Linked DNA regions of Cricetulus griseus. The protein of the gene in region 1 interacts with the protein of each later gene in a pairwise test. Links are inferred from orthologs where the notes say so. Each region holds a gene or a part of one and is shown on either strand. Other genes may lie near its edges.

Evidence for each region.
Region 2: the proteins of Keap1 (region 1) and Etf1 interact in binary tests that used the Homo sapiens proteins (3 or more experiments, as listed by UniProt). The two-hybrid records come from large-scale screens. The link is inferred for Cricetulus griseus from reciprocal best matches to the Homo sapiens genes KEAP1 and ETF1.

What each region holds. Positions count from the first base shown.
Region 1 is NC_048597.1:134,095,458-134,099,295, reverse strand, and holds the start of Keap1 (kelch-like ECH-associated protein 1), read left to right. Parts: upstream 1-794; 5' UTR 795-1,042; intron 1,043-1,179; exon of another isoform or gene 1,180-1,329; intron 1,330-1,367; exon of another isoform or gene 1,368-1,535; intron 1,536-1,551; exon of another isoform or gene 1,552-1,790; 5' UTR 1,791-1,986; intron 1,987-2,396; 5' UTR 2,397-2,443; coding exon 2,444-3,082; intron 3,083-3,838. UniProt on the Homo sapiens protein: Substrate-specific adapter of a BCR (BTB-CUL3-RBX1) E3 ubiquitin ligase complex that regulates the response to oxidative stress by targeting NFE2L2/NRF2 for ubiquitination.
Region 2 is NC_048595.1:202,567,456-202,571,364, forward strand, and holds the start of Etf1 (eukaryotic peptide chain release factor subunit 1), read left to right. Parts: upstream 1-1,082; 5' UTR 1,083-1,240; intron 1,241-1,400; 5' UTR 1,401-1,418; coding exon 1,419-1,504; intron 1,505-3,909. UniProt on the Homo sapiens protein: Component of the eRF1-eRF3-GTP ternary complex, a ternary complex that mediates translation termination in response to the termination codons. The eRF1-eRF3-GTP complex binds to a stop codon in the ribosomal A-site.

The DNA.
Region 1 (3,838 bases):
CAGAGAAACCCTGTCTCAAAAAACAAAAACAAACAAAAAACCAAAAATAAGAACAACAAAAAAATTGGGGGGCTGGAGAGATGTCTCACTGGTTAAGAACACTAGCTGGTCTACCAGAGGTCCTGAGTTCAATTCCCAGCAACCACATGGTGGCTCACAACCATCTATAATGAGATCTTGTGCCCTCTTCTGGTGTGCAAGCATGCATGCAGACAAGTGTATACATAATAAATAAATAAAATCTTAAAAAAAAGAAAAACAAAAGAAACAATGACATACTGCTCTTACAGAGGACTCAGGCTTGATTCCCGGATCCCGAATGCTCACACAACCTTGTGTAGACCCAGTTCCAGGGAATCCCATCCTCGGTGGGCACCAAGCATTCACGTGGCGTACATACATATACACATACAGGCAAAACGCTCATACATAAAATTAATAAATTTTTGTTTAAGTTATAAGGATGGAGAGATGGCTCAGCATTTGAGAGTACGTGCAGCTCTTGCAGAGGACCAGAGTTCAATTCCCCCACCCACACGGTGGCCCACAGCCACCTGTGACTTCAGAAGGCAATGCAGGAACACAGTACACAGACACCCAGGCTAAACACCCACCCATACACGCAAACTGAAATGCAAACATTATAAAGTTATCTTAAAAGATATACATATAGATAAAATCAACCAGGTAGATGGGTCCAGCCGGACCGTGTGGGTGTGGGATGTGGGAGGGCCGGAGGGTGCAGGAGGAGCCCCGACAGCCTAACCCGGAGGCAGGCTCCTAGGGCCGCCCAGACCCACGCCCTGCTCCCTCCGCCCGGCACCTGCAGGAAGGGCTGGAACCGCCTCTGCGTGCCCGCCGCTCGTTTCCGCCCTCCCGCTCCTCCCACGCGTGCTGCCCGCTAGCGACCCCGCAGCACCGCGGCCCCGATCCAAGGACCCCCGGGTCCCCTCGGCTCCTCCCGGAAGCGTGGCGCGTGGCGGCCCGGCGGCGCGGATTGGACGCGTGGCACCGACACAGACACCCGGGGGGTGGGACGGAGGTGAGCGAGCACCCGCGGAGATGCGATGGGGAGTCGGCTCCGAGTGCCGCCCGCGGCCGCGCGTGGGGGGCCGTGCACGCGGTGGGGGGAGCGCGTGCCCCCGGTGCGCACCCGGGCCGCCGAGCCCGCCCTCCCGCCGGCGTAGGTGGCGGCCGCGGCCGGCGAGTGAAGGGGAGGGGTCGCCCGCGGCCGGCGCCCCGGGACTCTTATTGTGACAGGGTGGCGCGCTGTGCTTAGTCACCGTGACCCGCGCGGCGGAGGCGGAGGCGGAGCGCGGCCATGGCGGGGTGAGTGCGCCGCTCCGGGCCGGGGCCCGGGATCAGGCCCTGCGGGCCCTCCAGGCGTCTGGGCTGCGCCTCCGAGCGAGCGGTGGGGAGGCCGCCGGAGCAGGCGCCGGGCACCGGGTCGTCGCTGCGCAGCCCCCTGCGCAATGCCAGGCCTGTGCTCCGGCAGTGTGGTCACGCGTGACAGTCGCTCACTTACTGGGGCCCTGGTGCGTTCCACCGCCCCCGGCACCCCCACCGTGGTGCTCTCATAGACATCCTAACACCGGGAGGGGGATGCGATTCCAGCCTGAGCCCCAAAACCCTCGCCCCACATCCCCGATTCAAAATATACCGCGTCCCCTGGCCCCAGCTCTCCAGGGGGCTCCTGGGTCCCTGTATAGCCCATGGTGGGCATTCCTGATGCCCACACTTTCTGCCCCAGAACCTTGGCACCCAGTGTTTCCTCTACACTGTATTTTCAGGCCTCCTCTCTCTTCCTGCTGTGTTCCTGGAGCTCTGAACAGTGCCTACTACATACTTGGCAGGCTCTGTAAATTTTGGTGAGGTGTTGAAGAAAGGAATTTGGCTTGTTGGAGGCAGGGAAGGGAAGGATGGCTGGGACAGTGAGCGAAGAGGTTGGAAAGGGGCTGACTTTGTGGGCCTTTGCAGGCCATTGAGGTAGGTTTCCATTCTTGGGCTTGTTGAAAGGTGTTGGGCGATTCTGAGCAGAAAGGGACATGATGTGATATGTTTCTTAGACGAGCCTTCAGGCGAGTGAGTTGGGACTAATTAGTTTGAATGGAGTCAGGATTATGCAGTTTACTTGGCTTGGCAAACTGTTCTAGAAACTTTTGCTTAATTTTTCTAAAGGAAGCCTGACTGGGCATGGCGGCACACACTGTAATCCCAGCACAGAGGAGGATCAGTAGTTCAAGAGCCCGCCTTAGTTAAATGGTGAATTTGAGGCTAACTTGGGCTCCCAAAGACCCTATCTCCAAAAAAAAAAAACAAAAAGGAAAGACAGAAAAGGAAGCGTTGCAAGGTCTGTCCTCACCTATTCCCAGCTCTGTACTCTTCCCTCCCTCCAGGACCCTAACTGCTAGTGGTGGAATTGTAACTTGTCACCCGGAACCCCATGCAGCCAGAACCCAGGCCTAGCGGGGCTCCCCGCAGCAGCCAGTTCCTGCCCCTGTCGTCAAAGTGCCCCGAGGGGGCCGGGGACGCGGTGATGTACGCCTCCACGGAGTGCAAGGCCGAGGTGACGCCCTCCCAGGACGGCAACCGCACCTTCAGCTACACGCTAGAGGACCACACCAAGCAGGCTTTTGGCATCATGAATGAGCTTCGGCTGAGCCAGCAGCTCTGTGATGTGACCCTGCAGGTCAAATACGAGGACATCCCAGCTGCCCAATTCATGGCTCACAAGGTGGTGCTGGCCTCTTCCAGCCCTGTCTTTAAGGCCATGTTCACCAATGGGCTTCGGGAGCAGGGAATGGAGGTGGTGTCCATTGAAGGTATCCACCCTAAGGTCATGGAGAGGCTTATTGAGTTCGCCTACACGGCCTCCATCTCCGTGGGCGAGAAGTGTGTGCTGCACGTGATGAATGGTGCAGTCATGTATCAGATTGACAGTGTGGTCCGAGCCTGCAGCGACTTCCTCGTGCAGCAGCTGGACCCTAGCAATGCCATTGGCATTGCCAACTTCGCTGAGCAGATTGGCTGCACTGAGCTTCACCAGCGTGCCCGGGAGTATATCTACATGCACTTTGGGGAGGTGAGTCAGGGCTGGGGCCTGGGCTCAGCTGTCACCAGGAGTGAGACAGGCCAACATAGCCATCTCCCCTGGAGACTGGAACAGTCATTCAAGTTTGGAGGAAAGCTTCTGTTTGGTATTTTCTTTTTATTTCCTCCTTTTCCCCCATAGAGTCTCATGTAGCCCAGGCTGGCCCTAATCTGGTTATGTAGCCAAGGATGACTTTAAACTCCTGATTCATCTGCCTCTGTCTCTCTCTCTCTTTTTTTAAGATTTATTTATTATGTATACAGCATTCTGCTTCCATTCTGCCTCCATATATGCCTGCACGCCAGAAGAACGCATCAGATCTCATTAGAGATGGTTGTGAGCCACCATGTGGGTGCTGGGAATTGAACTCAGAACCTCTGGAAGAACAGCCAGTGCTCTTAACCTCTGAGCCATCTCTCCAGCCCCTCTGTCTCTTAAGTACTGGAATTACAGACATTCATAATCACAATTGACTTAAGTGGTACTGGGATGGAGCCCAGGGCTTTGTGCTTGAAAAGCCATCCCCAGGACTACTTTTTTTTTTTTTTTTTTTTTTTTTTTTTTTTTTTTTTTTTTTTTTGCTTGTTTGCTTGCTGGCTTGTTTGTTGTGAGACAGGTCTCTTTTTGGAGAAAGGTATCCCTGGCTGTCCTGGAACTCATTCTGTAGACCAGGCTGGCCTGTAACCTGCCTCTCTCTCTTTTAATTCCTGTCCTCAATGTCACATTCTGAGTGCTGAGATCACAGGC
Region 2 (3,909 bases), on another chromosome or scaffold:
TGCCCGGATTTTGAGGCCAACACCAAGATCCTCTCTCAAACAAACGAAACTCTAAAAATGATTTACGGCTGTTAGGTGGCCGTGGCGCCAGCAAGCCAGCAATTGGTAGGTAGAAGCAAGCAGCCTCCTGTACAAAGTTCCAGGACAGCCAGGGTTACAGAGAAACCCTGTCTCGAAAAAATAAAAAAGTTCACGAACGGTTATAAACTCAACTGGATTGTGAACTCCATTAGGGTTATATTACTTACTCGGTTCACCTCTTTATCCAGAAAAACGTGATCTAGCACTTGCTCCGAGTTCAAATATTTGAATGCACACAAGTGAAGCGAAGGGAGAGACAATTGGAAAGCTTAACTCTTAACAGTTCCAACGTTTCCAACATTCTCCCCACCTCTACGCTAACAGTTAAAAAACAACAACACGCATGCTCTCAGATACTCTGGGTCTCCAACCTCAGGCAACCCTTTCACCCTTCAACCCCCAGAAGTCCCAGATCCAAAGAGAACCCGCAGTAGCTAGCAACGAAACGATAGGAAACCCTCCTGCGCAGCCGATCGGCTCCAGCCTCGGCGAAGTTCCTGATCCAATCCTAAAGGCCAGAATTCTGAACTTTTGTTCGCGAAGCCACGATGAGGTGTGGCGCACCGCATATGGTCAGCGATAAAGCTTTTCAAACAGCTTAGACCGCACGCACGTACATACGCGTCGGTCCGAGAAGCTAGACTCTGCGTGGCAGAGCTTCAGATGTCCATTCACGTTAATGGGGAAGAACGAAAGACAACGACCACTCTCTCGCGCCCTTTAAGAGCCACCCCCATTCCAGCCCGTAGAAGCTGAGAAAATGCTCGCGAGAGCCACCGGATTCACCCCGCTTCCTCCTCCAGGCTAGCCGGGCCGGAAGGAAGGCGGTACCTCCCGCTTCCTGGCCTATACCTCACAAGGCAGCACGACCGCACAAGCAGCCAATCAGCTCGCCTCTTGTAAGCAGAGTCGCGGAGAACCAATGGGAAGTCGCGGCGCGCGCAAAGCTTCTCTTCGTCGCACAGGCCCCCTCCCTTCCGCCCGCCGCCTTCCACTCCGCCCCTGGCGGAGGAAGTGAGATCAGAGGCCCCATGTGAGCGGATTGCAACACATGCAGCTGCCTGGAGAGAGGGAGCCGGTGTCCTACGTCAGAGCCGCCGCCGCCGCGGAGCCGCCGCCGGGGAGGAGCAGCCGCTACCGCCCAGGACTGGGCCCTTAGGTAAAGCGGGCGTAGGAAAGGCCGGCGCCCTATGCGGCGGGCTGTCGGGGCGGGGAGAAGAGGGCAGCTCGGGAGGTGGCGAAGAAGGGGGCCGCTCTGCCCCAGCGGCGGCGCTAACTCTGTGGTCTTGGTGTCTCCGGGCCCCGCCGGGCCGCTCTAGGGAGGAGGAGGCGAGAAGATGGCGGACGACCCCAGTGCTGCCGATAGGAACGTGGAGATCTGGAAGATCAAGAAGCTCATTAAGAGCTTGGAGGCGGCCCGCGGGTGAGCGCCGCGTCCGGCCCCCCCGAGCCCTCTTGGATCCCGGACCCCTCAGGATGGCCGCCCCCGCGCCGCATGGCCGGATGAGGAGAACCCGGCACTAGCCAACTCCCGCCTTCTGGACCTCTGGGTAGTAGCCTCTGACTGGAGGGCGAGGGTCGGCGCGGCTGGCCGGGAAAGAAGTCCTTCCCCCCCTTGGGGGTAAGGAGCCTGGTTCCCACGGCTCAGATCACTCGGCCCCCTCTCTGGAGAAAGCCACTGCTACTTTCGTAACCCTGTCGAGCCCTTAAATACAGCTCCTCACTTTTTGGGCTCTTGGTGCTGCCACCCGACTTGGATGCTGTTGGGGGAAGTACTTGGCGTTCCTTTCCGAACGTCCTACCCTGATTTTTCTCTCTTCCTCTCTCTTCACGTTCCTCAGACAGGCCTCATTAAAATGGCCTCCCCCACTTGGACTTACAAGTCCGGTGTGGGTGAAGTTTTGATGGTTGTAAAGAAGAGTTGGCCAAGAGAGATCTTCCTGGCTCACTTTTGTTTCTCTGGGTCTTAGACCTCTCCGAAGGTGACTTCCCCTAAGTTTTCTGAGTACCCTGGAGTTTCCTGGTTTTAGTTGCTCCAGGACTCGCCTATAAACCGAAAATACCAGCGTAAGCCGGATGGGGTGATGGTGGTTTTTGCTAACAAATCTGTTGTGTGCATATTCAAGTGAATTCCAGATAATGGGGGTGTTTGATAGTGTGTCCGTTTCTAGGTGAATAAGCGAGGTTGAAAGCAGCCATATGTTTTGTGTGAGAGTGTGCCAAAGGTATTTGTGTTTCTTCCATGTAGTTTGTTACTTTCCGAATTAATAAAAACTTTTTACTACTTGGGGTGTCCTCACCCTAAAAGTGGAACGTTATATATTCCTGCACTCCAGAGCATTTTTATAGGAGAGTGGCTTTCTTCCAGGTCATGTAAGGAAGTTAATTTCAGCACACAAATGAGACATTTTGTTTTTCAGCTCAAGTTTGTCACTGATGGGTAGCTTGATGGTGATATAGTGACCACCTTGGCACTAAGTTCATTCACTTTTTGAAATGGATTTGGCTTGATTCTAAAGTGCATGGTTTTAAAGCAGGATGCTTTTGCTTTGGTGTTTCATTGTTAATAAGTGAGCAGCACTAATTTCTGTTTGGGGTTAGACTTCTGAACGTTTGGCTCTATTTGGTGTTGTGTTCGTTCCTTTGATGTGTAGTATAAAAACTTGAGTTGAAGGTAGATGATTTTATTGTTATTATTTCTTAGGGTGTTTTTTTAATTTATTGGAATATAAAGACTTACTCATAGGAGCATGTACCATGTGGCAGAGTGAAAATAAATAATCCCAAATGTAAAAATACTGTATAGGAATGTTAATATAGGCCTGATTCATTATGATGCTAAGAATTAGCCGGGTACTATTGTTTCAGTAGGCTATCTTCTGTTGTTACTTAAAGCTTTCTGTGGGTTACTGACGTTTATGGATTACTGATGTTACACTGTTTCAAGTTGGACTGGAACCTGTAGGTTGTGTCTCAGTGCTTTCATTTTCATTTAGGCAGGTTCTTAGCTGAGCAGAGGTGGTGCTCGCCTTTAGTCCCAGGAGGCAGAGGCAGGCAGGGAGATCTGAGTTCGAGGCCAGCCTTGTCTACAGAGTTCCAGGAGAGGCTCCAAAGCTACACAGAAACCCTGTCTTGAAAAAACAAAAAAATAATTTGGATATAGTGTATTCTGTGAAGCAGTTAAAATATGAATTTATTAATTTGCTTATTTGAGTGACATTAACATTGGAGACAACACTTCTTAATAAGCTAATTTTCTTTCTCCTGGTTGATGAACAAACTAATTCTTAGATTTGTTCCGAGCCATAGTTCCTAACTACTTGAAAGTTTTAAGGCTCTCTTAAAAAGCCTTTGGAAACTTTACTTTCTAGTTTAGAAAAGTTCAGTAAAGTTTGAAGCATGCTGAACAGCATTTTAGACATGATTACTCTGTCCATAATAGCTAGGGACTCTTCTTCTAAACAAATAATGTGGTTTATAATCTTGTCCTACTTTGCTTAATAAGTTAGCCAGGACTTGGTTGCACCTTGAGCCCATGGAAATGTTAAGATCCTGTCCATCTCAGATGTTGGTCAGGGAGTGAAAAGTTTATTGTATGTGGCTCAGAACTGTCTTGGTAATCAGTTTCTTTTGGGAAATGACAAGATTTAATTTCCATTGCTAAGTTGTATTAGACTTTAAATTTTCATAGTGTTTTATGTGGCCCCTCCCCCAAAAAATGTTTTTGGTGGTTTTGGAAGCCAAGCTGGCCTCCAACTCATTATGTGGCTGACTGAAGCTGTTTTGACCTCCTGATCTGCTTCCAGGTGCTTCTGGGATTATAGGATG